Caenorhabditis elegans: one gene and its partners. The protein of the gene in region 1 purifies or fractionates together with the protein of each later gene. This does not show direct contact. Each region holds a gene or a part of one and is shown in the gene's direction. Other genes may lie near its edges. The genes, in order: emb-8, rpb-7, cytb-5.1 and metl-18.

What was found.
Region 2: the proteins of emb-8 (region 1) and rpb-7 fractionate together in Caenorhabditis elegans (co-fractionation; one large-scale study listed by BioGRID). This does not show direct contact.
Region 3: the proteins of emb-8 (region 1) and cytb-5.1 fractionate together in Caenorhabditis elegans (co-fractionation; one large-scale study listed by BioGRID). This does not show direct contact.
Region 4: the proteins of emb-8 (region 1) and metl-18 fractionate together in Caenorhabditis elegans (co-fractionation; one large-scale study listed by BioGRID). This does not show direct contact.

The regions. Positions count from the first base shown.
Region 1 is NC_003281.10:5,196,118-5,205,071, reverse strand, and holds emb-8 (NADPH--cytochrome P450 reductase), read left to right. Parts: upstream 1-5,394; 5' UTR 5,395-5,411; coding exon 5,412-5,533; intron 5,534-5,591; coding exon 5,592-5,685; intron 5,686-5,738; coding exon 5,739-6,737; intron 6,738-6,784; coding exon 6,785-7,033; intron 7,034-7,535; coding exon 7,536-7,832; intron 7,833-7,876; coding exon 7,877-8,104; 3' UTR 8,105-8,392; downstream 8,393-8,954. Other genes in the region: ATPase morc-1, read left to right, coding at 1-679, 729-968, 1,018-1,086; moc-6 (Molybdopterin synthase sulfur carrier subunit), read right to left, coding at 8,409-8,487, 8,741-8,796, 8,840-8,893, 8,945-8,954.
Region 2 is NC_003279.8:3,030,838-3,038,272, reverse strand, and holds rpb-7 (DNA-directed RNA polymerase II subunit RPB7), read left to right. Parts: upstream 1-5,334; coding exon 5,335-5,403; intron 5,404-6,410; coding exon 6,411-6,935; downstream 6,936-7,435. Other genes in the region: mod-5 (Transporter), read left to right, coding at 2,827-3,035; Y54E10BR.2 (ADP-ribosylation factor-related protein 1), read right to left, coding at 4,449-4,586, 4,652-4,743, 4,813-4,977, 5,031-5,118, 5,175-5,267; sec-11 (Signal peptidase complex catalytic subunit SEC11), read left to right, coding at 7,181-7,240.
Region 3 is NC_003284.9:13,998,400-14,005,643, forward strand, and holds cytb-5.1 (Cytochrome b5), read left to right. Parts: upstream 1-3,524; 5' UTR 3,525-3,525; coding exon 3,526-3,639; intron 3,640-4,068; coding exon 4,069-4,197; intron 4,198-4,251; coding exon 4,252-4,328; intron 4,329-4,439; coding exon 4,440-4,524; 3' UTR 4,525-4,681; downstream 4,682-7,244. Other genes in the region: C31E10.6 (CCDC93 N-terminal domain-containing protein), read left to right, coding at 1-202, 337-532, 580-726; tbc-19 (TBC1 domain family member 2B), read right to left, coding at 4,706-4,819, 4,865-4,943, 5,215-5,292, 5,349-5,394, 5,446-5,520, 5,587-5,705, 5,751-5,924, 5,967-6,021 and 4 more.
Region 4 is NC_003281.10:3,421,727-3,429,960, forward strand, and holds metl-18 (protein-histidine N-methyltransferase), read left to right. Parts: upstream 1-4,011; 5' UTR 4,012-4,014; coding exon 4,015-4,179; intron 4,180-4,844; coding exon 4,845-4,997; intron 4,998-5,047; coding exon 5,048-5,166; intron 5,167-5,172; exon of another isoform or gene 5,173-5,266; intron 5,267-5,365; coding exon 5,366-5,464; intron 5,465-6,128; coding exon 6,129-6,282; 3' UTR 6,283-6,368; downstream 6,369-8,234. Other genes in the region: golg-4 (GRIP domain-containing protein), read left to right, coding at 170-339, 1,125-1,764, 2,304-2,543, 2,880-3,017; K01A11.1 (Spaetzle domain-containing protein), read right to left, coding at 6,694-6,813, 7,854-7,986, 8,191-8,234.

The DNA.
Region 1 (8,954 bases):
CTGGATCAAAGCATCTCGTCCGAATGAAATAGTCGGCTCGAATGATGATTTCTTCTGCTGCGAAAACGTAAACCATCATGGTTGTCGCACCATTGTCGCCGAAGATAACGACTTCAGTAAACTACCGGAAAAATATGATCATATCCTACCACAGAAACGGTTGACTAATTCAGCACCATCATCGTCCGACTCTCAAAATTCTATTCGCTCGGCATCATCCTGTTCTTCTTCGTCTCGTCTATTGAACGTCGCGAAGATAGAAAGTCACGAAAGAATTCATTCATCCACTGGTGGTCACAGATTGGGAGAATCATTCTCAACAACATCTGTCAAGATGGAACCCATTCCAAACAATGCGCATGACAGTCATATCGCAGAAGTCCAACGCAGGCACAGTACTGGAAGAGCAATCTCACCCGCAGTTTCCGAAATTTCTCGTAGAGCTGGAACTGCGCCAAGTTCACAATTGGATATGATTATGGGAGAAGAATCGGATGAGTCGCAAGAGGCACTGACGATCAGAGCACCGCGCCAACGTGCTAAAAGACCAATTGAAAGAGTTTCGAGAAGAAATAGAAGAGATCAATCAGATGATGACTCAGACTCTGAGAACGAAGAAAGATACGCTACTGCGCCAAAAAAGTCAAAAGTCAAAGGAAAGGCTGTTGTGAGAGCACCTGTGAGTTTTTTCAAATATTTGCATCACAAAATCTGTGTATATTTTTCAGAAAATGACTCGGGAGAAATGGCTAGAAGAAATGCTCAACCAGTTTCTGACCGCTCATGGAGAACAACCTCTTCCAAAGAACGGTCAACGAGACTTTGACCCGACGAACATTGTGGAGCAAACCTCACGACGAAACTTCAAAAACAATCAGAGAATCGTAGACGCACAGCAAGCTATTATGCGTCAGATTGGATCAGTTCTTGATCATCTCAAGAGGAACCCGACACATAATTTCAAGATTGTAAGCTTTATTTATCTTTTTTTTATCGTTGAAACTTTTGAAATTTCAGCCTGCTTCTGGAACTGTCGAGGAGAAACTGAAAAATATTGAGCACCAAATCAAAGGAAAGAAAAAATAATATTCCAGCTCGCCCTGTTTTCCCAGAAGGACGTACTTGTACAATTATAGCATGTTCATTTATAATCTTTTCAGAGATTTTTAGCTTTCTCTTTTTTCATTATCGTTTTTACCTCATTTATTTATTATCGTTCCCGACCTCATTTATTTATTATCGTTCCCGACCTCATTTCCCGACCCCATTTATTTATTATCGTTCTTCTAATTCTCTTTTCAATTATGGGTTACTTTTTTTTTTTTGTCTCTTCAGTAAGAACGTATGAATGTTTTTTTTTGTAAGAATATGAATTTTTTTCAATCGAGTTGTTTTTTCTGCAAAGAAATATATCCATCTATGTATTTCAATTCGAACTTCCAGTAGTCAAATTAAGGCTGAAACACCAATTTTCAGAAATTACAGTGAAGAATCTGTTGATCTTCTATTTTTACTTCCGTATGATCAAAACATACTGTTATCTTTGTTGCCTCCATCACTTTGAAAATATTTGTATTTTTTCTCTACGTGTTTGTAAGCATAAACCACAAGCAGAACACAGTCATTTTGATCCGTGGTTTGTAGTTTAGTTCTCTTTTTTAACTTTTAGAATTTTCTAGACGATGATCACAAATTTAATTCAAAATTAATCATTTTCGGTTGAATGTTTCTAGTTCGATGTTTTAATCCGATTTTCACCAACAAAATCTTGTACAAGTTCAAAAAATCGTATAAAAACCCGATTTTTCTTTTCACATGCATAATATTCATGGAAATAGACCGAATTTATCTTTTCTTCAAATCATTCGACTTATTTTCCGATACCGATCTTTTGAGAATCGGGGAAGACTCTTCGAGAACAACGCCGAATTTCGAGTATTTTGCACGATCTTCTTGCAAATTTGATACATAAATTAGACATTTTTGTTCTATTCCACGTCTTGAATCTTCAAAAAGTTTTTGTTCAAATAGAAATTTCGGTTTCCCCCAACAAAACTCGCCATAATTGTTTTCCACATTTCTATCGGTTTCAAAAACTACACGTACAAAAATGGCTAGAACATAGACCACACTTTGAGATCAAGTGTAGCCAATAGAGGTAGTTGTTCACGAGAAAAACAATTATAGATAACACATGAACTGAAGAGAGATAGGTAGAGAAACAGAACGAGAAGAGAGAGAGAGACAAGAAAGAGAAAGAAGAAAAGAACAAGCGATTTTTGTGGGCTGTTACTCCCTCTCAATTGTTTCCTCTCTCTCTCTCTCTATCTCTATCATAGTCGTATTAGGGGAACTTCGTGTATAGTTAATGTGACTGTTAAGGCTTGAATTGCTTAAAAGAAAGATTTCATTTGTAGTTGATTTATTCTAGACGATCTCTCTCTCTCTCTCTCTCTGTTTCTTCTTTTCGATGTTCAATTTGACCTACTTTTATTAATGGATATTCGTTTTCTTCTCTTTCCACGATTTATAGATGTTTCCCCTGAACTTCGTCTCTTTAAATTTATTTGTTTCGATCAAAATTGTTTTGCTTCATTATACCCTAAATGCCCTTAAAATCCAAATTTCACGAAACTTTTCAAAGAATTCTCAAAAGTTTCATGGCTGTTCAAAAGTTTCGAAAAAAAAACCTGATTTCAGCAATAATTTCCAGTTTTCCCAACTTTTCCGTGTCGCAGCGGTCGCAAATTATTACTTAAATATTCGGTTATTTTCATATTTATTTTGCAATTTTTTGTCATTCATCTCGTGACATTTCATAGATTTTTTTCACATATACAGAAATTCACAAAAAAAATTTTTTCGAAACTTTTGGGACTATTTCGAGTATAATATAACAAATTATCCAAATGTCGCTTCTCCATTTATCAAAAAAAAACCCTCCCGATAATTTCGTTAATGAGGACGCTATAATGTTTTCGATATTCTTTCTCTGACATCAAACATAGAAAAAATAAAACCCCGAGATATCCTTCTTGATAATATAAAGGGTACACTGTAGCCAGGTCACCTGCAATCACAGCCTATTCTTTGAGATGGAAACCTAGGCAACCAACTCTATGCTCTACAATCATGCTCTGAGATGTTTTTTTTAAATCAAACATTTTTCGATTTTCTTCAGACTTCCGCATAACCTTTTGATTTCCAATTAAAAGTGGCACCTGTTGCCTTTCTTATTCTCTTCCTTGTATTAAAACCGGAAAAAATGAAATCCTCCACGTCTTCAATGTGTGTGTTGTCTGCGCCCCTATGTACGTCGACTTCGATGACTGACCGTTCATTGTATCGGGCCTAATTCAATTTTTAACTCAAGTGTGACGATATATTTTGATTGAAAACTACGTGCAAACAATTATGATTTTCCATTTGAACTTCAAATTTTGTAGAAAACGCATTTTCGTTTGATAAAACCGTACTTTGCGTGTGGTTTTCGTACACAACATCCAATTTTGTCAAAATGTGATAAAAGTGACATAAACTACAGAAAATGCTTGACGGTGTAATCAGTCCATATCTATTTGACTTATCAACTTAAAAACAAAATTCGCAATTTCTTTTCTTCTCTAATTCTCAATTCAATTCTTATCAATGATTAAACCTAACCAGACAATCTTTGAATTTCAACAGTTATTCACCAGTCATTTATTTCATCGCATGACTTGAATTGACGTTTAATTCAAATTAGGAAATTATTTTTGACTGAAACAATCGTTTGGCGACTAATTATTTCTGAAAGTCTTGTAATAGTGGAAATAACCAATTTTATTTTATTTCTATTACAAAAGTTGACTCTCTTTTGTGACCAAGTAATATTTAATTTTCAGAAATATTGCTCCCGGTCTCGACACAACAAATTTTGTAAAATGTAGAAAGTCGTGCTCCTTGAAAGAGTACTGTATCTTCAAATTTTCATTGTTGCGGAATTTCCCACAATTTTTCGAAGTTTTTCGATAAAAAATAGATATATTTATTTTAAAAACTCAAATTTCAACATAGCGAGATGAAAATTATGAAAATTCAACAACAACTAAAATTTGAAATTACAGTACTCCTTAACGGCGCACGTGTTTTCATATTTAACAAACATTCGTCGTGTCGAGACCTTGGGTACTGTATTTGTGCCGTAAAATTACTTGGGTTATATCAGATATTGTGCCGCAGTTTTTTTTTGTTTCAATTTTTCCTGACTCCTTGTTTTAGTTTTGTTTAAGCATTTTCCTACTGTACTTGCAAAATGTCTGAAATTTTTTAAGATTACATAGTTTTTAGAAGTTTTGTTTTCAGAAGATAATTTTGGCTAAACAGTACTCTAGTCTACGTGTCAATACAAAGTCTGACAAATTTTGTGTTCTCGAAGTATCTTTCTTCGACCACCAAATCATATTTTATGTGTGTCGATCACAAACCTCAAAAAATGATGCAAACTCTCTGACTATCTGCTTCTATAAAATACTCACCTTCTTGGCAAATACAACTTTCTTTTCACTAATAACTTTTCCTCACGGCGTATCTTTGTTTATTTCAATATACCTCCCTCCCTTAATTCGATTTTTCTTCTGTAGCTTTTGTTTTTTCTTCTTTTTCTTTAACTGTAAGACCAAATTAAGGGGACAGACAGAACAATATGTCTAATGTTCCCATTCATTCACACAAATTGACTGTACATTTTTTTTTGAAAAAAGACTCACTGAATTTGCTATACGATAATCGTATCTCAAATTAAGTTTTTAGTTGAAATTGTTTTTGTAAAAAATTATTTATTACAGTTATATGATAGAAATTCAGATATTTCTCAAAATACATATATTTTAGTGCGACAAACTTGTGGTTTTTGCGCCAAAAACACTGGACCCAGTCTCAACACGCCAAATTTTTGATAAATACAAAAAGGTGTGCACCTTCAAAGTGTACTGTAGTTTCGAACTAACGTTTCTGCGCCATTTCAATCAATTTTTCAGAGTTTTCCTCTGTTTTCGTTTGATTCGGGATTTTTCTAAGTACCTGAAATCACCTGAAAACAGAAAAAAAACACATTTTTGTTTAAAAACTATTTATTTATTGAAAAAATAAAGAAATGCATGAAAACAATAAAAATCACATAAAATTAAACTTAAAAAACTATGGAAAATCAATTAAAATTCAACATTAACGAAAGTTTGAAATTACAGTACTTTTTAAAGGCGCACGCGCATTTAACAAAAACTTGTCATTTTCTCGGCGCAAACATCGCAAAATTCAGCGGCAATATTTTAAAACATGTTTAAACTATAACTTCTTATTTATTTACTTTTTCAATATCTCCCTCTTCCTTTTCAAATAATTCTTTAATTTCAGAAACTCTCATTCTAAACATGCTGGCGTGGATTGTGTCGGGTCTCGACACATCAGACCTTGTGGTGCTCACTCTGCTCGCTGGTGGAGCAATTATATTCCTTTTCATGAAGGTTTTCAATCAGCAACCATCGTCTAGCAGGTACTTTAAAAATAAATGCAGAAAATTATTTTTTTTACATTTGAAATTAAAATTTCAGATACTCGCCAACCGTAGCATCGGTCACCACGTCAGCTGCGGCTTCGAAATCGAATCAATCATTCATTGATCGAATGAAAAATGAGAACCGACAGGTAAATTGATATGGAATTTTAAAGAAAATAGAATCAAAATTCTCTAATTTCAGGTGCTTATCATGTACGGATCTCAAACTGGAACAGCTGAAGAAATGTCTGGACGTCTTGCTAAAGATCTTACTCGTTACACCAAGAAGGCTGTTGTCGTTGATCCAGAAGATATTGAATGTGAAGATTTGAATCGTTTGAGTGAAGTTGAGGATGCTCTTTTGGTACTATGCATTGCCACATATGGAGAAGGAGATCCAACTGATAATGCAGTGACACTTGTTGAATATTTGAATGCTGGAGACTGTGATCTGTCGGGTGTTCGATTTGCAGTTTTTGGACTTGGAAATAAGACTTATGAACATTTTAATGAGATTGGAATTCAAATGGACAAACAACTTGAAAAACTTGGAGCCAAGAGAATCTTTCATTTGGGATTAGGAGATGATGATGCTAATCTTGAAGAAGATTTTATGATTTGGAGAGAAGCTTTCTTGCCAAAAGTTGCTGAAGAATTTGGATGGGAGTTGAACACAGAGGCCGAGACAATGAGACAATATCAATTGGAACCAGTTGAAGAAGGAAAAGCTCTTTTCAAGGGAGAATTTGGACGACTTGGAGCTTATGAACGTCCACGTCCACCATTTGATGTCAAAAATCCATATTTGGCTACTGTTGCGATCAATGATGAACTTCATACCGAACATTCTGATCGTAGTTGTAGACATATTGAGTTCTCTGTTGAAGGATCCCGTATTCGTTATGAAGCAGGAGATCATCTGGCTGTCTTCCCAACAAATGATCCAGTTCTTGTTGATCGTCTCATTAATATGCTTCAATTCGATCCTGATCACGCATTCCGTCTTGTGAACGTTGATGAAGATGCATCAAAACGTCATCCATTCCCATGCCCAACCACATTCCGAACTGCTCTTTCTCATTATGTTGATATTTGTGCTCCAGTCAAATCTCATGTGCTCAAAGCAATCAGTGAATATTGTACGGATGATACTGAAAAGGAATTCCTTAATAAGTTATCAACTGCCAATGAGGAGGGCTTGGTGAGTTTTTTTAAATTTTAATTTTGAAGTAATTGAATTTTTTTCAGAAAGAGTACGCCAGATACATTGTCAAAGAGCGTCGTTCAATTGTCGATGTATTGACTGATCAAAAGACATGTAAACCACCAATTGAGTATCTTCTTGAACTTCTTCCACGTCTTCAAGCCCGTTACTACAGTATTGCTTCATCTCCGAGATTAAATGAGGAAAAGATTGCAATTTGTGCAGTTGTCACTAAATATTCTATTGGTGATCGTGATATCAATGGAGTTTGTACAAGATATTTGACCACCAAGGTAAATTTTTTTGCACATGATAGAAAATGAACCGTAATGATCGAATATAACTTTTTCAAATTTTTTCATAATTTTATCAATTTTGCAAATAAGAAAAATAGCTATTTTCGAATTCCCTAGCAAATGAATCACCCTGTTTTGGCATTTTTGCATTTTCTGGCTAATTTCAATTTAAAGCACAGTTTGTAAAATTTTCAGACATTTTTTCGCAAAAAAATCTTAAATGTATACAAGTTTACTTTAAGAAAAATGTCATAACCGGACGATGCATTTGCGCGGGAATTCAAAAATAATTATCTCTTTTTTCAATTTGCAAAATTGAAAAACCATTTCAAAAAAATTTAGAAAAATTTATTACATTTTTAAACAGTTATATTTGGCCATCACGGTTCATTTTTGTATTTTTTAAAACAAAATTTCAAAAAACTCTCACTGTACTCTCACTCAAAAAACTCTCACTATCACACTTTCTTTTTCCAAAAAAAAATCCAAATAATTTCAGGACGCCGGATCGAAATCTCCAGTTTTCGTTCGTAAATCAACAATGCGTCTTCCCCACCGTACCACAACTCAAGTCATTATGATTGGTCCCGGAACAGGATTCGCTCCATTCCGTGGATTCCTCCAAGATCGTCAATTCCACAAAAATGCCGGAAAGGAAATCGGAGCAATGCATTTGTATTATGGATGCCGTCATCCAGATCATGATTACATCTACAAAGATGAGTTGGCAAAGTTCCAAGAAGACGAAGTGCTCACACACTTGGTTTGCGCTTTCTCCAGAGCTCAGGAACATAAGGTAGGATACCGTGTTTCATTGACTTTTAAATAAGATATTTTTAGATCTACGTGCAAGATCGCTTGTGGGAGACTCGTGATCGTATCTGGGATGCTATTAACGTTGGAGCTCACGTCTACATTTGTGGAGACGCCCGCAACATGGCTCGTGACGTTCAGGCAACACTTCAGAAGATTTTCAGAGAAATCGGAGGAAAATCTGAAACGGAAGCTGTCGCCTACTTCAAAGATATGGAGAAGACAAAAAGATACCAAGCTGATGTGTGGTCATAATTTTCAAATTTCATTTTTGTTCAGTTTTTTTAAAATTTTTCAGTAATTTTTCTGTGATTTAGACAAAATATTGCATTTCCCCCTTTTCCCATTTTTCTGTGATAACCTCCCACCCAATCGCCCAGCTCTTTTCAACCCAAAACAGAGAAAAAAAATCATTCGAAATTCGGGTATAAACTTCGCCTCTCTTCCCTATTTTGCACCCTTTGTCGCCCACTAACCCACTTTTCTAGTTTTTTTTTGTCAAATATATCACAAATTTTCATTGAAATAAACAGAGTCTACAAGAATTATCACAATAAGATTATCCACCAGACAATGGAGGAATTACAGCGATTTCTGTGAAGCGAACCAATTCGAAACGATCTCCGGGGTTGGCATATCTGTAAACGACATATTATAAAGACGCAGAGATGTGCGACGGCCAAAAGTTGGGTCTCGTTAGGTATTGGCAACGACACTTCCGAAAGCTTTCTTTAAAAACAACGCGAAACATAACAAAAATGATGAAAAGCTATTGAAAACATTTCAATTAACAGTTTTGCTGCCAATACCTAACGAGACCTAACTTTTGGGGGCGGAGCTTTTCCATTTGGCCGTAGAGCGCGGTTGCACCTCAATTTTCTGAAAACTCACTCCTGATCCACTGCGAGCATCATAACCTTTTCAATTTTTTGAAGAGCTGGGTAATTCTGAAATATTCAATTTTTTAATTTGAAATCTGTAAATTATTACTTCTAAAATTGTTTTCCGAATCTCTTCATAATCGGTCTCTTCGGGAAAATCAATCTAAAAGTTCAAAATTATCCAAATTGTTTCCGTCTAATAATAAAAGCCCACCGCTTCTTCT
Region 2 (7,435 bases), on another chromosome or scaffold:
ATAAATTTATTTTCGAATAATGACAGCGATATTCCGTTTTTTCGTATTATTTTCTCATTTTTTGCCTAATTTAAATATTCCATCGATAAATCGCGCCCGTAAATCGACACAAGCAACACAGTAAATAGTCATTTAAGGAATTACTGTAGTTTTCACGGCCCGGCGAACCGTACGTGGCTGTAAAATCTCTACCGTAGTAAAATTTGGCTGACTGAATATTCAACGTTTGATACTCAGCGAAAAGTTTCGTACGACATTTTGCGGACGCGGCATTTTAATTGACGACACTTTCTTAGTTATAGAAACGCTGGTTATTTCGGTAATTTTCGGGCAGAAGTTGTGAAAAATAAATGAATTTTTATCGAATTTACAAAAAATAATCATTTTAAAGGATTGTATGTTGCTGATATTGAAGAAAATCGATACTTTAAACAGTTTTTCGCAACGTTTCTCGATTTTGGCCAATTTTTTCGAGTTTTAGAGCCCTGAAATTCCCTAAATCGTATAATACCACATTTGATTATTGAAAAACGCGTGTTATTATTGAAATTCGTTTATTAATATATTAAAATAACAATGTTAATACTTAATAAAAATGTAAAAGATATTCAATAAAAATTTAAAAGATTGCAAAAAGACCTAATCCGTAAGTGATCAGTTAGAAATTGCGATAAGAGAGATTATTTCCTTTTAGCTTTTCTTCTTGTCCAGTTATCTTGACGCAATTTTTTGGAAATTTCATTAGGAGTTTGTTAGATTCCATAAACATCGTGGACTTCTGCCATAGGTGGTGTAACTGTCAGTCCAAATCGGGGCTTATACGAGTTCTATTCGGGCATCTTTATGTGGCAGCGGCGGTGGCAGCGCGATCCATTCGCAATAGGGTTGATTCTAAAAAAATTCTGATTTTTTAAGTTACAATTATCTTATTGGAAACTAACCATATTATGAATATTGTACACTTGCTTCATACTGAAGTATTGCCATCCACTGTTACCTGGATAATGAATCGAAAAGTACCAAGGTTAATTGCATTCCAGCAGCGATTTATGCCGTTTTTAGGCGCTTCCTGTTGAACGATGAGTCGATAAACGATTCCAAACATCAGCCATCACGTATCCAAAAGACGAATAATCGGAGTATAAAATCCTGGAAAAATTTTTTAATGAAAGGTCCAACGTCAGCTTCGTGACAAATTTGATTTCGAATTTGATATGAAATTTTCTTTTCGAAAAAAAGTTTACTTTTTGATCATAGACTATCGATTTTTGGTCTTTTTAGAAAGATCTCGTCCAGTAGAACGTGAAAATGTCAAAAAAATATCGAAAATCTATACAGTTTTTCGAAAAAAATTTTTTAAAAATTTCAGTACTATTGAAATTTTCTTTTTAAAAAAAGTTCACTTTTTGAACATGGGGCCTCGATTTTTTGGTGTTTTTAAAAAGATCTCGTCCAGTAAAACGCAAAAACGTCAAAAAAAAAACGAAATTCTATACAGTTTTTCGAAAAAAAATTTTTTTAAATTTCAGTACTATTGAAATTTTCTTTTTAAAAAAAGTTCACTTTTTGAACATGGAGCCTCGATTTTTTGGTCTTTTTAGAAAGATCTCGTCCAGTAGTACGTGAAAATGTCAAAAAAATATCGAAATTCTATACAGTTTTTCGAAAAAAAATTTTTTTTTAATTTCAGTACTATTGAAATTTTCTTTTTAAAAAAGTTCACTTTTTGAACATGGGGCCTCGATTTTTTGGTGTTTTTAAAAAGATCTCGTCCAGTAAAACGCAAAAACGTCAAAAAAATATCGAAATTCTATAGGAATGTTGGGATTTTCCAGACACGAAAATCTCCGTAGTGCATTTTTTTCACATTTTTCAATTTTTCTCGATTTTTTCGACATGAAAGTTTGTTTTCTTGTACTTTTTCGAAAGCTGGCATCAAGACAAATGCTATGAAGGCATTTTTAATATAAAATTCTATAGGATTTTTTCACTAGATGGAAAAAACTCTTTTTTCGGATTTTCCTCCTCCCAGTTGGCGGTTGAGTGCTGTTTTGCCGCGGTTTTGTGATTTTCTGCAACAAAAAATATATTTTTATCGATAAAAATGAGAAAAAACGAGAAAAAACAAAGATAAATGAGCTTAGCAGCCAAATTAAAAATGTTTATTCGTTCAAAAATCTTAACCATAGGAGGCGGTGGCCTAGCCGGCGCAGCTCTCGCGGCCACGTCTCTTTCGCCGGGCCGTGGTTTTCGCTACGAGATATTTTTCGCGTCAAATATGTTGCGAAATACGCATTCTCAGATTTTTGTGTTTCCGTAATAGAGTTTGAAACAACAGTACACTTCAAAGGCACACACCTTTTCAGAAAACAAAAAATGCTCGTGTCGAGACTCTTTTTCGCCAGTCCCCCACGCGCAAGAAATATTTTTCTTGAAAAAACTAAAATAAAAGACAAAATTGATGTTTTTTTTTAATTCAAAAATTTTTTAAGCTATGGCCTCGCAACGAAAGATATTTGTTAGCTATGCGCCTTTAAATCTACCGTAACCAGAGGAAATTTTTTGCGCTATCATGAAAAAATCATGTGGTGTCAGAGTGTCTTATTTCGGTTTGATCTACGTTGATCTATAAAAATGCGGGAGAAGAGACGCAGACTTCTCAACTGATTTTGCACGGTTAAGAACGTGCTGACGTCACATTTTTTGGGGAAAAAAATGCCGCATTTTTTGTAGATCAAACCGTGATGGGACAGCCTGGCACCACGTGAAAAATATAAGTTTTGCATGAGAATTCAAAGCAATTAGTTTTAAATCCAATATTTCCAGGTTGGTTCCTGAGACTTCTCTCAGTCCTCGCAATTCCTGTCTTCGCAATAATCTACCTGCTCAGCGGTACCGGCACACTTTACGAACGCTTCCGATGGGCAATAACTCCTCAACAACGCCGAAATTCGGCGACTTCTCTCGCCGCTGATCCCACACAAATTATCGATAGTTCTCTTTTAGATCCAATTCATACACTTACTCCAGTTTAGATAATTCTTGGTGTACTGTTGGAAGTCAACGATCGATAGCCGTGCACAGAAAAAAAGGCGGAGCGTAATTTCGCAACCTTGCGGCACGGTTTTTCCACCTATTTTGACGCCCGTTTTATTCTCTTTTTTTTTAAATAAAAACTAAATTGGATAGTCTTTTTATTAAAAAAAAAAGAGAATTCAAATCGAAATTTTATAGAAAAAATCAGCAAAACCGTGCCGCAGGATTGCAAAATTACGCTCTGCCTCTTTTCACGAATCGATCTTTTAATTTCAACAGTTATTATCGATTTATTGATTTTTCTTCCACTTTTTCAAATTTTTAAAATATTTTTCAATTCTCGAACTCGAATTATTTCTGGAGTAGCGTTTTATTTTTCCCGATCTCTTTAACCATCCACGCGGTGCCAATTCCTATTTAATCTCATAACTCACAAGCTTTCGTTTTCTGAAATTTTGTAAATAATCAATTAAAAAAAGAATTTTTATTGCACGATATAAACAAAAATATTTAATACTTAAATACTAATATCATTTTTTTGTGTAATAAGTCAGATCAGCCGAAACCGTATTAAAACATGGTAGAGGGGAAGGGGTTCACTGCAACTTTTCTTAAACGAGGGACGAGGAAATGCGGTTTCTAGGCCATGGCCGAGGATCCGACAAGATTTAGCGGCAATTTATCTTGCTTTGTTTTCCGCTTGTTTTTTTTTTTGTTTTTCACAGTTTTTTTTCCCGTTTTTCCTATTAAAACTGATGGATAAATATTTTTTCGCAGATGCTAGAACAATCGGCAAGAAGCGGTGAAAATGATCAATGTAATATGATGGATTACAGGCATACCAAACCTAAACTTTTTCCGAAACATGATATATATACTGCTTAGATGCTGAAACTACTTGATTTTCATAACGAGACCGCTGAAAAAAAGTTTTGAGATTTTTAAAATTCAACATTTTGTGCGAAAATATCGACTTTTTCACCAAAAAAGTTGAATTTTAAAAATCTCAAAACTTTTTCAGCGGTCTCGTTATGAAAATCAGGTAGTTTCAGCCTCTAAGCAGCATATATTTCATGATTCGGAAAAAGTTTAGGTTTAGTATTCCCGTAATCCATCGCTACACAATTTTTCAGTTGGAAATTGTTCTAGCATCTGCAAAAAATATTTATTCATCAGTGTTAATAAGAAAAAAACGGGAGAAAAATCGGTGAAAAACCAAAGAAAAAACGCGGAAAACAAAGCAAAATAAATTGCCGCTAAATCTTGTCGGATCCCCGGCCGTGGCCTAGAAACCGTATTTCCTCGTCCCTCATTCAAAAAAGTTGCAGTGAGGTTAGGAAATCATCACAGGATTCTTCTATTCATGTCAGTATGCAATAGATTATAATTATTATATACAGCTACCCGAGAGGTTAAAGGTATAATGGCTGGCTAGCCAACGATCGGACGATCCAGTGAACACATCTTTCGATATTTGTTCCTTCTAGCGCCGAAACCGGAAGAACTGCAAGGTCCGAGCGGTGATTGTCGTCTTCGAGCAGCATTCGGACCTGGAAAATATGATTTTAATGCAGGAATTTCGGTTTTTTTTTTCGATTTTTGAGAAAAATCTGACCTCAGCGGCAGCGGCGGCTCCTTCCATTTCACTTTTATTCACCGCTACTAAAACTGGAATATTTTGAACTATTTCGTTGGCCATTACTTCTTCTGAAATATTCGTATTATTATTATTATTTCTGGTATAAATTTGATTTATTTCAATTTCAAACTACTTACTAAACTGAGATGCTACTATTGGGAAGAGATCGCTCCTTGTTGCGTCCACAACAAAAATCATGGCATTTGCATCGTCGTAATATGTCGCCCAGAGTTCTCGTAAACTCTCCTGGCCTCCGAGATCCCAGAAATGAAGACATGTGTTGTTGAGCTCGACATTTCCAGCTGAAAATTGAAAAAAAAAATTTTTTGATTTTTAATTCATTTTAGAGGCTTACTATTCAAACCAACTGTCGCCGTGATTTTTGATGGATTCAGAACCCCGTAGTCCTTTACAAAGTGAGATTTTGTTTGCTCCAGAAACGTCTGAAATCGATAATTTCTGATATTAATCGGTGAGATCTCAAATTCAAGAGACTTACAGTTTTTCCAGCATTATCCAGACCGACTATCACCACATAATAGTCTTTTTTCTTGAAGAATTTCTCCCAGATACCCGCCGAAAGTGTGTACATATGTGAAATATTCGATTTTAAAGAGGAAAAACCGAGCGGAGTTGGCAAAATAAAAGAAAAACGAGATATGCGCCAAGGACGCCTGCTGGCGCATTCTTCGTCTCGTTGGCACGCAACTGGTGCGCTTACGCTTCGTGTACGAAATTTATTTATTTTTCGAATAGATTTTGGTGGATTTTTTCGTTTTTAATTGTTTTTTTTTGGTTTTAAAACTCAATTTTCTTGTTTTACGCAATAAATACTTGATCAGAAATCGATTTTTTGTGTGTAAAATCCAGAATTCGTGCATAAAATTTCTCTAAGGGGGTTTTTAACTTTTAGGAGTAAAGATTCTAGGTATTTTGAATGTATAAGACCGAAATATGCTCAAATAAGCGAATTTTGCAATAAAAATTCTTAAAGAGTGCTCGAACATTTTTTATGTCGGGTAAAATCTCCAATTCTGGCTACTTTCCATGTCGCAGCGATTGGAAGTGGACTTTTTTGGAATTTTCATCTCTTTTTGCATAATTTGATCGATTATCTCACGTTTTTAAGCAATAAAGGATGATAATTTAAAAAAAAGTGAACTTTCCATCGCCGCGACGCGGAAAAGTGGCCAAATTTCGCTATTCCACTCAGTAAACCCGTTCAGAATATACCCAGATTTAAACCGTACAAGCCTATATTATGAAAAATTCTAATTTTGGGCAGATGTAAACCAAGATTGTCTAGATTCAAACATAATTTGCATAGATTGCAAGTTTGAGTAGATGTAAACTGAATTTGTGTAGGTTTGTGTAGATCCAAACCAAATTTGTGCAGATAAATTCACAATATAGGCTTGTACGGTTTTAATTTGGTTTAAATCTGGGTATATTCTGAACGGGCTTACTGAACAAGTGAACTTAGCCGGGTTTTTCGGAATTTTGAGAAATTTCATTACGAAATTCGTCCATTTGAGCACATTTTGGATCTTCAACGTTAAAAATTACTCCTGTTTTAATAGTAAAAATTAAATTTTAAAAAACGATTTTTATGCTTGAAACACAGAGTTTACATGCAAAAATCGATAGAAATTTGAGTTTTAAACCAAAAAAAATCACTAAAAAACCCAGAACCGTTACGATTTCCTCTTTTAAATACAAATTTAAGAACTTTCAGATGTTCTTCCACTTGTCACTCGACCATGAAGTCTGCCTCCATCCGAAATATTTCGGTCCAAACCTGAACGAAACCATCAAAATGAAGCTGTTCAACGAAGTCGAGGGAACGTGCACAGGAAAGTACGGATTCGTCATCGCAGTCACCACAATCGACACGATCGGCCACGGCCTGATCCAGCCTGGCCGTGGATTCGTCATCTACCCGGTCCGTTACAAGGCCATCGTGTTCCGCCCGTTCAAAGGACAAGTCGTCGATGGAGTCGTCACACAGGTCAATAAAGTCGGCATTTTCTGTGATATCGGACCACTTTCATGCTTCATCAGTCGTCATTGTATTCCACCAGACATGGAATTCGATCCGAACAGTGAGAAACCGTGCTACAAGACCAATGATGAGGCGAATGTGATTCGGAATGATGATGAGATCCGTGTGAAGCTCATCGGAACACGTGTCGATGCTAACGACATTTTTGCCATCGGAACCTTGATGGACGATTTTCTCGGACTGTGCCAAGCGGAATGATCTGGTTTTCAACGATTCGCTGTATCATAATTTATCTATCACCACGTTATTTCACAATATTTTAATTTTTACTTTTTTTAAAATCCATCTGTTACGTTTAAACCTTAAAGGATCTCATTTTATTGGTTTTACTTGCTTTTTGGAACTTAAAACTTGGTTTTTTACCATTTTTAATATCTTTTTTTTTATATTCTCCTCATTTATATTCTTTAATTGGACTTAAAACTCGCATAATCCCATTTCAGATGAAGTTCCTTCCCGATGTTGCGATGTTCAGCGAGATCCGCCAGATGAATATTCGTCAGGTACTGAATTTTGCAAAAAAATTATTTTCGAGCGAAAAAAAGGGATTTTCAGTGGAAAAAGGGTGTATTTTTATAGGAAATCATCGAAAAATCCAGAGAAAATTTAGTTTTTAAGACAAATTTAATATTTTTCATGGAAAATATGTTTTTCTTTTCAGGACCGCGCAGGAGTTTTTAATTCGTAAAAATTTTTTT
Region 3 (7,244 bases), on another chromosome or scaffold:
AGCAAGCTGTCAGAAAAGCCTTTGAGGAGTATATTGAAGTTCGCCAGAAAAGAGAGCAAGGTTCGATGGCCGACAACATTGACGATGATCCATTCAGCATGCTCAACGAAATCGATCACACAATTGCGAGCGACATAAATGAAATTTTGTCAACAGTCAACAAGATGATCGGTCATGTGAATTCAATGCCTCAACCAAAGGAGTAAGTGTTTAAATTGATACATACTTCTGATATTATAAGTTTGCAAACATTTTTTGAAAAAAAGTTTTATTTAGATGTTTGGTCATTTTGGCACCATAGGAGAGGCTGCCCCACTTACCAAATTTTTTTTTCAGAAGGACCGAGTACGACTACCGTGTTGCATACATTGGCTACACAAGCGATGCTTGCATGTTCTTGTCGGATTGGCTGGGAAAGGCAAAGTTCCTGAAAGATCAACGCAGAAACTTGTGTGAGAGAAATCTCCGTCTAAGCTTTGACACGAAGAAAATGTGCCATCTGGTGAAGTGCGCTTCTCGTGAAAATGCCAAAGTAAGAATACATTTTGAAACCTTACAAATGAAAGTCGGAAATTTCAGTATCATGCCCTGAGCGACTTGCTGTTCCAGAAGAGAAAATATATGAGCACCTGGGAACAAGATCTTTTCAAAAAAGCGGGTGCTGGTAACAACTCCTCGGAACTCCCAAAAAGTTGGGAATTGGACTATGCAGCGTTCAAGAAGTAGACACACAAATCAAAAAAAAACATTCCATAATTCTTTCTTTTCGCTGCTTTATTTGCCATTTTGCAACTTGTGTTCATACTATGTATACGATTTCCCCATCACAACAATGATTTCTCATATCTCATGATTTCCCTTCCACCATTGTCACTGAAATTTTTCGATTGTCGCACCCCCGCCCACTCGCCACGTAATACCCGGATTTTATTAATAAAATATTGATTTATTGAATGAATCTAGTTGGTTTTTTTTTTGAAATTCTGTGAGCACATTTCTGTGAGTATATATGAATAATTACAAAAAAGACAAACTAATTTCAGATTCCATAGAGAAAATAAGATTACGAAAAAGCTCTTTTGCTCGGAACTTTTTGGAAATACAAAAAAGTGGAATGAATATTTGAGATAACAATAGTTTTAACGCATGTTGTTACATTATTAAAGGTGGAGTACCGAAATTTGGGAAATTTTTTTAAATTACTCCAAATTTTCCCTAATTCCGAATATCTAAATGAAAAAATTCAAAAAAATTTCGCTGATTTTATATTTGAGCTTGAAATCGCGACTTCTTTTTCGTCCCCATCAGCTTTTTCAAATCCGCGCCGAAATAAATTATCCTTGGAGCGCGTTTGCCTCATTTAATTTTATGCATATTTTTAATTAGTTTTCAGCTATTTTCGTTCATTTGTTTTGAAAAATATATTCTTTCCTGCGAATTGAACACTTTATTATCAAAAAATGAACGAAAATAGCTGAAAAACTGAAAAAGAAAGTAAAAATATAAGGAGAAAATTAAATGAGGCAAAAGCGCTCCAAGGATAATTTATTTTGGCGCAAATTTGAAAAAGCTCATGGGGACGCAAATGAAAATTGCGATTTTAAGCCCAAATACGAAATCAGGGGAACATTTGGAGCCATTCAAAAATATTTCCCAGATATCGGTACTCCGCCTATAAGGTATGTTTTTTAAAGACGTTACACTGTGGAAAAATTGTTCTTTAAGAGCAATAGCCAACTTTGAATAGTTTCAAATAAAATGTTTCTTTAGATTTTCAACTCAAAAATTTTCGACGATACGTTCCATTTTGCAAAATAATGTTTCGTCGTATTACTCACATTTCCTCCAAAATTGAAAATGAATTTAACATGTAGTCAATATGACCAACAAACTACTTTGTCTATTTTCTCCTCAACGTTAAATTCAATCTGTACAATCTTTCCTTATCAAATACACAACCACCTTTGATCACTCTCCTACTCTTTTTCTCTCTTGAAAATTTACTTTGACTACGTGTGTTCCGAAGACTACAAACCATAGATTCTCTTCTCTAGCATTCTCTAGCCCCATTTGACCATACTGGCGAACCTACTTTGGTCTGGTGCGAGAGCGTATAGCAACTGGTATAAAAGGCTACGCAGCCCTAGACTTATTTTCATTTCGTTGCATATCGATCGATAGGAACGGATCCACGTTGCCTGCGTAGCCTGCGTACATTAATCCCTTGGCGGTCACATCTCGCCCTTCATCTCATGCACCTTCCCCTTTTCTTGTTCTATCCAGGTCATCCCAATTTCTGTTTCTCTCCAAAGTTGGAATGAATAGACGCAACTATTTGTGAAATCAACAAGTAGATAGTTTTATTTTTCAGCTTTAAATTAAGTAAAAACTAAAACATTAAAACTACCGTTACTTATAGAGTTGGATTTATTTTTTCTATTTGCCTTTTTAAACACTTCCACTAAATTTGAAAATTGAAGCTTTTTTTTTAAATTTATTTTTAAGATTCTGATATAAACAGTTGTTTTGAGATGATTCGTTTATTATACAGTTTTTAGTAGAAATATAAATGTACGTTTTTTTCGACTAATTTGTTTCTTTCTATTTGAAGCAACGTCTTTCAAAATATTGAGATGTTAGCTTTACGTTTTTAGAATTAAAATAAGGACTCTTTTTCACGTGGTGTCATGCTTTCCCATCGCGGTTTGATCTACAAAAAAGCGGGAAATTGTTTCCCAATAAAATGCGACGTCAGCAACTTTGTGAAATCACTTGAGAAGTCTGTTTCTAAATTCCCGCAATTCTTGTAGATCTGCGTAGATCAAACCGGAATGGGACACTCTGACACAACGTTTTTTTGACAATAATGAAGTATGACAATTTGAATCGACTAGTCAACAGTCTGAAACCACTACAAACCGAACAAAACTGCAGGTGTTTTTTTTAAATTCAACTTTCAAAAAATATGAATTCTTGAATAATTGTCTGTGATCCGCAGGAATCCCCCGAATTCCTGAAGAACGGATTGACTAAGTAACTAACTAACTAAGTAAGTAAGTAAGTAAGTTCATCATTTTTCATAGAATCTCTACTTTTAAACGTTTTGGTTATTATACACATGTTTCGAAATCACAAAACTAACATTTCCAAAGTGTTCCCAAAATGTGCTTTATGCTCATGTTCTGTTGTCATGACATCAGGTTAGAGTATAGTCTCATTGCCTATTGATCATCGCGAGGCCACCCTCCCAGGCACACTACTCCTTTTGCCCAATTCTCTCGTCCATTTCTTCTCCGCCGTTATTATTTGTTTGTTCAAATTGTCTCTCTGCTCTCTTTCCCATGTTTCTCTATTTCTCCTTTCAACTTGGTCAGCTATTTTTCTCTCTTCATCCTTGACACAATTGCTGCTGTCTTTTCTGTCTTGTATTGCAGGCCTGTATTTTAATAACATAATTTAATATGTTTTTTATTGCCATACTTCTCATATCTATATATTTTTTAATAACACGAAATGATTTTCAGAATGGCCGATCTTAAGCAAATCACCCTTAAGGAAATTGCCGAGCACAACACAAACAAATCAGCATGGCTTGTAATTGGAAACAAGGTGTTTGATGTGACCAAGTTCTTGGACGAGGTAAGATTATGTTCTGATATTTAGAAATCCGTACTCGAAGCACGTAGGCAGACATAAACCACACTTTACGGTACGAATAACACAAACGCAGATTCATTGTTGATCAATAGAAAGAAATTGACATCTATGAAAAATGAAAAGGAATTAAATTTTTTCTCTGCAATTGATAGGATTTCTTGCTCAAAAATTTTTAGCATCAACTTTATCAAAAATAGCCGTTACCGTCTCTTTCAAATATGTATTCTTATTTTATCGTTAAAACAAAATTTACTGTTTGATACAATCAAAACCATGACGATTAAGATATCGAAATACTTGAAAACAAATAGGGGCAAAAATTCCCGAATTTTTTGTAGATCAAACCGTAATGGGACAGGCTGGCACCACGTGGCGCATCAAAACTAAAAATTAATAATGTTTTTTTTTCAGCATCCGGGAGGTTGCGAGGTCCTTCTTGAGCAGGCTGGAAGTGATGGAACTGAGGCATTCGAGGATGTTGGGCACTCCACTGACGCTAGGCATATGAAGGACGAGTATTTGATCGGAGAAGTCGTTGCAGTAAGTTTTTGCCTTTTTTGCTTATAATTTTCATTCATTTGTTTTGTGTTCCAGTCTGAGAGAAAAACCTACTCGTATGACAAGAAGCAATGGAAGTCTACCACCGAACAGGATAACAAGCAGAGAGGAGGGTAAGTAGGGTTATACTTTTATTTTGAATTTGAACTTTTTTAAAAATGATTTTAAAAGTTAACTTTTGACTAAACGCTGCATCTCAGCTCAGAATAATAATATTTTTTCAGAGAGTCAATGCAAACCGACAACATTGTTTACTTCGCCCTTCTTGCTGTCATTGTTGCTCTTGTTTATTATCTTATCGCTGCGTAATCACTGTTGATCCACTATTTTCGCCATGATTTTGAAAACTGGGGCATTATCTTACTTAAAAAAAACTGATTTTTTTTTCATTGTTATCCAATAAATGTCATTTTGTGATTTTATTATCGAAAATAAATACATCACTGTGATTAACATATGTACACTGAAAAGGGACTTTAATATTTTGTTTTCATTTCGATCGAAATGATAATGATTGAATGGAAGCTGGTGTTGAAGAGGACGTTTTTGACGATGGAGGTATGTTTGGAACTTCGTGGGTTACTGGATCATTGATCCAAAGATTCTGAAATTAAACAGCTTTTATGTTAGCTAACTTGGAATTAGTTACTGTGGAAATATCTTTCCTCCAAAGCAACACTGCTTCGTCGGCGCCAAACTCTCCAGAGCAGGTAAGAATGTGGTGCTCGCTGAAAAAAATTTCTTGGATATGCCATAAGTTCCTTGTCATGAAGTGAGTGAATGTTGCGTGAACGAAAAAAAATCTTGAAGTCGTTTATATTTTTCTATAACACTTACTTAGTTAACTAATTAACTAAGTTAGTAAAAACATTACCCAATATTTAGCTTCAATTTCTCAATTCAATTTTGTAAAAAAATCGCTTTAACAATTGTTGAAAAAAAAACTTTGTTCACAAATTGCGTCATTCCAACTGTGTGAACTCTTGAAACTTTGCTCACCCGCTAGAAATTATCTTTCTGACGGAAGTCTCCGATATTTTCAATTTCATGAACAAGGACAACCTGACGCTGGAGACCCTGCAAAAAAAACCATGTTACTCTCTTATTGATAGTACATTATAATGAGGCCATACACTGCACTGTCCTCTACATCGTTCGATGTTTCTTTATCAGCACTTTCTGAAAACAAAAAGCGATCATTAAACTGTGCGGTAAAATATTGAGATGTACCTGGGACTGGGACAATGTACGGATCATCAAATGTTAAATCTTTCCGCTGAAGATTAAGTTGTTTTGATGGAGTGGCTGAAACTATGCCGGATGCTTTAATTTCTTGTCAATACGAATTCAATATTTAAATTCCAAACTAACCAAATCGTTTATGAGACGTTATTGCAACTCTTCTTCTTGATCGTTCTTCATCCGAGTATAGCTCAAAAGTGTCGTCATATTCCATTGAAGTACAACTGGAATTCGTTGAACTGAAGAATCTGCAATTACAAAATGAATTTGGTCAGAAGTTTTTGAATAAAAACCTATTGTCCCTGAATCTCGGAGAATCTTTTTCTTTCTTCACTGACAGAAAGTTTTCATCGCATTTTTCAATTAACTCATTGGGCTCGGAGCTGAAAACAGAAACCGCCGAATCCGCACTAAATCCCTTTTTCATGGGAGATCTCAAAGTTTTCGATGAAGAGCTGTTTAATCTGCTGAAAAATAGTTGTGTTTTCTAATTTTTTGTATGGTTTTACCTGTATGTGCTGCCCGGAAAATCTACATCTTCTGGATTTTGTTGGAATGAAGCAACTGGAACTATAATGTTTCAGAATTATGTTTTGCAATAGAATTTCTCACTGCTATATTGGTGTGTTTCTCTGTCTATGGAAATGCTAACCCGACTTGCGCGCTTTTCAGCACAAAAGATTGGTACAGTTTCATTATCATCACTTTCATCATTATTCTCAATAAGAGAACCGAGTCTTTGAGATCTTGCAGACGATCCACGCCGACTCGGCCGTTTTTCACCAGGAAATCTGAAAGAAAACACTGTAAATTTAAATTTGAAATTAAAATCAAAACCTTTTCAGCTTATATTTTACTTCCTCCTTTCCTGTTTCATTTTCAACGTTATAAATAAAAACGTATCCATCAGAAGTGCCCAACCATAACGTTTCATCATTAAACAGCATTGATTCTACATAGTTACTATTTTCTGTGTCTGATAGTGATGGTTTTCTGAAAAACTTTCCAATATTCATTGTTATTGACAACTGAAATAACCGTGTTTTGTGGTCGAAAGAAATATCATACAACAAATTGCAGGCGGTGTCATGCCATAGTTGAATTAATGTTGAGTGGTTGGTAGTTAGAAAAATACCAAACGGTGATTCGGTCATACAGGTGATCTGAGAAGGCGATAGATTTTTTTTTCATTGGTCCGATTATTGAATATATTTTGAAAAGTGGGGTACCGAAATCTGGGAAATATTTTAAAATGACTCCAAGTTTTCCCATGATTCCGAATAATTAAGCAAGCGCGCTCCAACGATAATTTATTTCGGCACGCATTTGAAAAAGCTCGTGGGTGCACAAATGAAAATCGCGATTTTAAGCTCAAATATAAAATCAAGGAAATTCGGAATCAGGGGAAAATTTGGAGTCAATTAAAAATATTTCTCAGATTTCGGTACCCCACCTTTAACTACACTGGCAACAGAAATTATGAGTATAAAAACTTTTTTGATTTGATTAGGTTTTCAGTTTTTGTGTTTTTTTAAGTTCAATGAGTTCATCTCATTTATATTTTCACGTGAACTCACTTTATCAAAATAAATCACACCCGATCCAACATTAGACGATGCCACATGGGTGGTCGATAGCGTCGTCAAAGATTGAGCATCGAGGGTTATTAACTTGCAAGCAGTTGCTACAACCAATGTATCGTCATGAATAACAGCGTTTGTCAACGGAGAGGAACTGAGTGGCATGTGCCACATTTGGACACTGGTTGGCCAACGCTCTCCAGCGTT
Region 4 (8,234 bases), 1.8 Mb from region 1:
GCATAAATCGACACGAGGCCGTTTCTTTTTTTCTGCTTCTACAATAACCTGTGAGCACACAAACCAACAATTTATTTATGTTTTTCTAACAATTTTTTTTTGAATTTTTTTTTTTTGCAGCTTCTGAGCTCTTTTTCCTTGATTTATTCAATTTTTCAATATTTTTCAGGAAAAAATCATCTCGGATCTCCGCTCTGAGCTCTCCACCATTAGCACAGAGCTTGTCGTCCAAAAAGCCACTGTTGAGAAGACGAAAATGGATTTTGGAGAACTGGAAACACGGGAGAAACGAGCTACGGCAGATAGAGAAAATGAGAAGATGGAGGAAATTCGATTGAGGTAATTTTAGAGGAAACAACGGAAAAAAAATCTGATATTCAGGCATTTTTTTAGCGTAAATTCAAGTTTTCCCGAAGGTTTTTTTTTTTGAAATTTTTCGTCAAAAATCTCAAAAATGGTGATTTTCAATATTTTTTATTTGAAAAAATGCTCAAAAAGTTCACATTTTGGCTTAAAAGTATAAAAATTTGAGAAAAAAACTGATTCAGAAATCTAAGAAATCCCAGAAAATGGGAAATAAAAAAATTCTGCCTAAAAACGCAAATTTTTCAGCTAATAATCTCGAAAAAGTCAAAATTTGTGATTTTCTAAAATTTTTATTCAAAAAATTTAAAATTTTGACCCAAAATCATTTGAAAAATCGAGAAAACTGACTGAAAATTTTTTGAAAAAATGAAAAATCTCAAAAATTACAGTTTTTGCTCCAAATTCACTGAAAATGTCAAAAAAAAGGATTTAAAGGCAAATTTGGTTAAAATTTGCACTAAAAATGTCAAAAAAGTAGAAAAGTTGGCTAAAATCAGGGAAAATTGGAGAAAAGCTAAAAAAAAATTCCAAAAAAACAATTTTTCCCAATTTTCTGATTTTCTCGAAAAATTCGAAGTTTTAATTGAAAAAACTCAAAAAGTCACTGGAAGACGGCAAAAAAACGAATTTAAGAAATTTTTAAAAATTTTGAGAAAAAAAAACGCAAAAATATTCAATTTTTCACAATTTTAGCTAAATTTGACTGAAAATCTTTTAAAATTCAGATTTTAAATCAAATTTTAATTTAAATTTTTCAGAGAGACATTTGCCAAGGAGCTGGAGACAATGGGCTCGGCCTTAGAGGTCAAAGAAACGGCCTACAACGAGTTGAAGGCTTCAGCCGAGAAGAAAATCGCCAAGCTAACCTCTCAATTTGAAGAAAAACTGAAAAAGGCTCAAAATTCTCAGGATGAAGCTTCAGAGTCTCGATTTAAAACACTTGAAGCCTCGGCGGAGCAAGCGAAGCTAGAATCGGAGCAGAAGCTTAGAGCACTGGAAGAATTGCTGAAAAGCTCGGAGTCTGAAATTGAAGAGCTCAAGATTAAGGAAATTTCAGCAGAGAAGGACAGAAGCCACTGGGAAGTTGAAAAAGAAATGTTAGAAGGAGAAGCAAAAGAGCTCACGGACAGAATTGAAGGACTTGAAGCTGAAGTGAAGAAGCTAACGGCAGCGAATGAGACGAAAGCAGTGAAAGCAGATACAGATGCAAGGAAGGTTGTACGAGAACTTCAGAAAGAAGTCAAGCAGTTGTACAATGAGTTGAATGATAAAAATCAGCAATTTGATATGGTTCAAGAGGAGTTAACACGACTGAAAACTTCAAAAGAAACTGCTGAAAATGGGCAATTACAAGTACAGAAACAGATGGATGAAGAGGATAGAAGAAGCGAGTTTTCGGTAATAAATTGGGAGAAAATGGAGGAAATTTGGATGAAAATCGTCAAAAATGAACTAAAAACCGCTAGAAATTCGAATTTTTGGCTAAAAAAACTGGAAAAAAATGGCTGAAAATTGTTTTGAAAATTGGTAAAACAACTGAAAAAGAGCAATTTTCAGCTCAAAATTTTGAATTTTCCGTTAAAAATCGTGTGTAAAACCTCAAAAAATGTATTTTTCTAATGCTTCCAATTAAAAATAGCTAGAATTTTGGAAAATAGAGTCATCGAGTTTTGGCAGAAAAGCTGTCGATTTTCAGAAATTTCTGCCTGTTTAATGGAAATTTTCTCGTTTTTTTTAAACGAATATTCGAGCGTAAATTCAAGTTTCTCGGACATAAATTTCAGCAAAAATCGAGTTTATGCTTCGAATTTAACATTAAAAAATTTTTTTTTAAATATTTTTGTCATTTTTCCAACACTGACTGAAAATCTCAAAAAAAATCGAGAAATTTTCAATTTTCGAGCACTAAATCCCTAAAAAAGCCCCATTTTTTGCAGTTCAAAGAAGAAATTGCCTCGTTAAAACAAAAGCTTGACGCCTCACTAACCGAAGCAGATGATCTACGAATGCAAGTCTCACGGAACGAGAAGACGCCACGATCCAATGGAAATGCTTCAACTGGCAGAACGAAATCTATGGAATTACACGGAATTGCTGATCCGGCAGAAGCTGAATATCTACGAAATGTACTATATCGATACATGACTAATCGAGAATCTCTTGGAAAAGAATCTGTGGTAAGGGGAAATTGAATTTTTGAATTTTTGGGTGAAAAATCATGATTTTCATGCAATTTTACACTGAAATTTTTCCGAAAAATTGCCAATAATTGGGCGGAGCTTAATCTAGAAAAAAAGTAAAAAAAACCAATAAATGGGCGGAGCTACTTCTAAAATTTTTGAAAAATTGCCAATAAATGGGCGGAGAATTTAAAATTAATTTAATTTAAAAAGAAAATTTAAAATTTTCAAAAAATAAAATTAAGTCAATTTTTTTGAAATGTTTAGTTTAAGCTCCGCCCATTTCTTGGCTCATCTCGTAAAATTTGAACTAATTTTTCTAAATTTTTGCAGACATTGGCCCGTGTAATTGGAACTGTGGCCCGATTCGACGAGTCTCAAATGAAAAATGTGATAAGCAGTGAAGAATCAAGGCAGGCAAGCTGGGCGGCAGCTGTTGGTGGAACTGTTAGCCATGCGTTGAATCGATAATTCGAAACTCTAATTTTTGCTCAATTTTCTCTCATTTTTCATGTTTTTTTGTGTGTGAAACTGACTAATTTTCTCTCAGAATGTGATAGCCAAGAAATGGGCGGAGCTTACGATTTTTGTCGAAAATTTTTGGATTTTTTTTTCAATATTTTCTATGGAAAAAACCGAAAATTGAATTTTTTGAACCGATTTTTTGAAAAATTATTTTTAAAAAATTTTCTGCGATAATCGCAATATTAGTTTTTTCTTCAAAAAAAATTCAAAAAAACTAATTTTTAAATTTTCCACAAAAAAAAAAAATTTCTAAAAATTGGAATTTTTCGAATTGTCTATCAAAAAAAACGCTCGTAAATCGACACTGAGAGAAAATTAGCCAATTACAGGCAAAATTACGTCTTCTTTTAGATTAACCCCCGTAATTAGAGTTTTTTTTTCAATATTTTTCAAATTAACAAAATTCTTTTTTTTGGATATACCCCCTACCGGTTATTAGATTTTTGAAAACAATATCCCCCGATTTTTTTCTAATTTTTTTAAAAATAATTTTTTTTTTCGTAGAAATTCTGTTTCCTCTATATTGTTCTGCTTTATCCTCCCAACGACTGTGATTAATCGCCGAAAAATTTTTAGATTTTTATTTCAATTTTTTTTCGAACAATTTATTGTGTATATATACGAGAAATATATATGTAATAAAATTTTTTAATTTATTTCGAAAAAAAAAATTATTTTTATTTTTTCAAACTTGCGTTAGATTTTTACCAATTTTGATATTTTATCGGGTTAAAAAATTTTTTTTCAGATTTTTTGAAAAATAGTTGATATTTTTCGGGAAATTTCCAGATTAAAAAAAATCATATTTTTCAAAAAAAAAAAGATCAAATTTTTTGGAAAATTTCAGAATTTTTTAAAAACTTCCGGGTTTTTTGAAACATTTCCAGATATTCCAAAATTTTTAAAAAATCAAGTTTTTCGAAAAATTCCAGATTTTTTCAGAATGAACGTGCTGAAGCTCACCAATGGCCGAGAAATCTCCTACTTGAACGAAGTGGAAATTCGAATGGGAATTGATGAGCTTAATGGAGAAGAAAGATACAAAAAAGAGCTGGAAAATATGGAAACGTCCGATATTACAGTTCACAAATATGAGGGTGGATTTAAGGTGCTGATTGTGACGTGAATTTTAGAAAAAAAACGACATTTTTGACTGAAAATTGGAGTTTTTTTAATTAAAAAAAATTATTTGGGAAAGTGAAAAAAAAATGGAAATAACTTGAACAAACATAAGAAAATTTTAAAAAATCGAAAAAAAATCGATAAAATATTGTTTTAAAAAATTTGAAAAAATTAGATTTTTTCTGCATTTTAAATTTTTTGAGTCTCCTTTTTTCTGGAATTTTTAAAAATAATTTTGAGAATTTTTCAGAAATTTTTGTGAAATTATCCGATAAACTAGGTCCTATTTTTCGTGTTTTTCACTGATTCTAATTGAAATTTGAATTTTTTTTCCCAAAATTTTAAAAAATTCAAAATAAATATATATTTGGATTTTCTGCGAATTTTATATTTAGAAATTCAAATTTTCAGAAAAAATGTTTTTTTGAATTCTATTTGCGATTTTTTTTTAATTTGAAGCGTTCGAAATCTAGTGGCATAAAAATTTTGAGAATAGCGTTTTTTTTCAATTTTCTTTCAGAAAAAAATTTGAGAAAAAAATTGAAATTTTGAAATTAAATCCAATTTTGCAAAAAAAAAAAAAATTCTTCTAATATAAAAATTTAATGTTTTTTTTTAAATTTAATTTTTACTTAATAAATAAATTTGCAGATCTGGGAATGCACCGTCGATCTTTGCGACTATATCGAAGAAAATCAAACGCTTTTCGCCGGAAAATCAGTTCTAGAGCTCGGCTGTGGAGCAGCTCTTCCATCAATTCTCACGGCGGTACACGGAGCTAAGGAAGTTTTCGCTCAGGACTTTGTAAGTCTACGAGATGAGTTAAAACAAAAAATTAATCTAAAACATTGCAGAACGCGTCAGTCATCGAGTTCTTCACACTTCCAAACTTCGAAGAAAATCCGCATTCAGCAGTTGTTCAAGGAGAAGCAATGGGATGGGAAGAGGTTCCGAATCGATTGAGCGGAAGAAAGTAAGCAGCAAAAAGACATCAGCCCAATGCGGGGCTCGAACCCGCGACAACCAGATTAAGAGTCTGGTGCTCTACCGACTGAGCTAACCGGGCGGCGATGTAGACTCGTCTTGGTGGACGTTTTGTATAGCGCCCGGCTGGAGACGGGGGGGGGGGGGGGCCTAAGACGCAGAACTTTATGTTATATTCCATTTACCAGATTCGACTTCATTCTCTCATCGGAAACCATTTACAACGAAGATGACTATCAAGCTCTCCACGATGCGGTCGCTGCAACAATCAAGGATGACGGAGTCGCGTAAGATCGTTTGTGTCGATTTACGCAGCAGCTCGTGTATTCCTCGAGGAGAAGAGAGTTTTTTTTTTAAAGCTTGAGACCGTTTTTTTTCTGTACTTAACATGATATTTGGCAATTTTGCTAGACAAAAATCGCAGAAAATCGATTTTGATCACGAAAAGTGAACGTTTTTTGTTGGTTTTTGTATACAAACAACCTTTTTTGTCGAAAAATTTTTTTAAAAATTAGAAAAAATTTTTAAAATGTTGAATTAGCTTTAACGCTTCTTCCCCTTTTTTTAATATCAAAAAGTTCTGAGATTTTTTACCATAAACTTTTTTTCGCGGCGAGACCCATTCTTAAGAATTTCTTAGCGTTTTTAAGTATAATTTTCGATAAAAATAGTTTAAATAAAAATTTTTTTAAAAATCTATGTTTTCTGCCCAAAAAATTGTTTTTTTTAATATTCCGATTAAAATAAATTTCATTTTTCTTTGGTTAAAAAATCGTGTCGAAAAATATAAAAAATATTGAATTTCCTTGAAAATGAGTCTCTTTTCATTGAAAAAACCCACACAGAATACGAATTTTTGCCGAAAACTTCTCCTCGAGGACTACACGAGCTGCGTAAATCGACACATGGAAGAGATTCAAACTCTTCCATTTTCAAGCCCTTCAATTTCAGATGGTTCGCCGCGAAATTCTTCTACTTTGGCGTCGGCGGAAGTGTTCCAGCATTCTGCGAATTTATCAATCAACGCGGAATTCTTCAAGCTTCTGAGGCAAAAGTGATCGCCGCTTCAGTGCCCAGACGGATTGTGGAGATTCGGAAAAAATGATTTGAATTTTTTCGTCTTTTTGTTGTGTTTTTTATTTGTTAAGTTGTTCAAGAATTGTCCTTTTTCAATAAAAACTGTTTCATTTCAAGAAAAAAAATCAGTCGTAAAATGCACACCTACCCGCCATTAGTTTGTAAGTAGAGAGAATAATGAGAAAAATGGGAAAAATGGAACGTTTTGTACTGACAATTTAAGCAGCAACACGTGGTGTCAGAGTGTCTCATTTCGGCTTGATCTACGTCGATCTACAAAAAATGCGGGAGACGAGACGCAGAGTTCTGCACTGATGCTGTATGGTTAAGAACGTGATGGCGTCACTTTTTTTAGGCAGAAAAAAACTCCCGCATTTTTTGTAGATCAAACCGTAATGGGACATCCTGACACCACGTGCGCAAAAAGGGGCTAAAATGACTAGAACTCCTGATGACCGTATCGATCCACTGGCCACATACATTGACAAGAGATTGGAGCATCTGGAATTGTAAATGGATGCCAATGAATTGAACCAACACTACGACGAGACACGTGTACCTAAAAGAAATTAGGAATTGAGTGTGTGTGAAAAACACTATATTTTACGCGCAATTTTTGTGGAAATTTTTGGGGAACCCAGAAAAACACTAAAGTTTACAGAAAAATGTATTGGGAAAAAGGATTTTTCAAGTAGACAGTGCGTACTGCGCAACATATTTGACGCGCAAAATATCTCGTAGCGAAAACTACAGTAATTCTTTTAATTACTACTGTAGTGCTTGTGTCGGTTTACGGGCTTTCGAAATGAATTTTTTTCGAATACTGACATCGATATTCTATTTTCCCTCATTTTTTCGTATTAATTTCTATTTTTGCACAATTTTCATATTTTATCGATAAATAAAAAATTTGAACTCATTTCGAAAAACAAGCTCGTAAATCGTCACAAGCACTACCGTAGCCATTCAAAGGATTACTGTAGTTTTCGTTACGAGACATTTTGCGCGTCAAATATGTTGAGCAATACGCATTCTCTGAATTTAGTGTTCCCGTAATAAAACAATTTGCGGGCTTCTTGCATCATATTTTACGCGCAAAATTTTTTGAAATACATGGCCACGCTCTCCTCAAGTGTTCATAATTATTAGAGCGCGCTCGAGCGGCACCTCACGAACTCCAGAATTCGCGGGAATTCGTTTTTCCATAGAAGCCAAAAATAGCCAAAAACTGCTGTCCCGGCGAAACGAATTCCCGCGAATTCTGGAGTTCGTGAGGTACCGCACGAGTGCGCTCTAATAATTATGAACACTTGAGGAGAGCGTGCGTGGGAATTTGAAACTACTCACAAAATATGTTTAATTATTTACTTTTTGCTCAAATAATTAACAAAAATGTTTTTTTTTCAAATTGTCTTCCGAAAAATCACAGTTTTCTCTGTGATTGCACAATTTTTTATTACTAAAAATTTGAAAAAAAAATCACATTTTTCCAGAATTTGCCCGTAAAACATGGTGCATTGAGTGTGCTCACACAATGCGTCACACCTTACGCGCAAGAGTCCATCTACAGCATTTTCGCTGCGAGACCCAAGAACTCACATCTGCATACTGCTGCACACAACGTAACATTCCCTTGAAACACGTCTGTTCTTGACCAGACAGTAGACTTCCAATCGGTGATTGACTATTTAGGCAACGGACTTCCACAACAAACGGAGGGTCAAATTCGTGACTGGAAAAATTGGAAACTTGAAGGTCCCGGTGAAAGTGCGCTCTATTGAGACAATCATAATTATCTCAATGGGGCGCGTCTTTAATATAAGACGGTACAAACTTTTCAGTTTTAGGATCTCTATTTCAGCTGATTGGTTTAGAAATTCTTGAAAAAATAGATAAACGGGTGAAAATTATCGATTTCTAAAAAATCGATACTCACCTCTGTGTATTCAATTCGACTATTTTCCGCTGACTTTCACATAA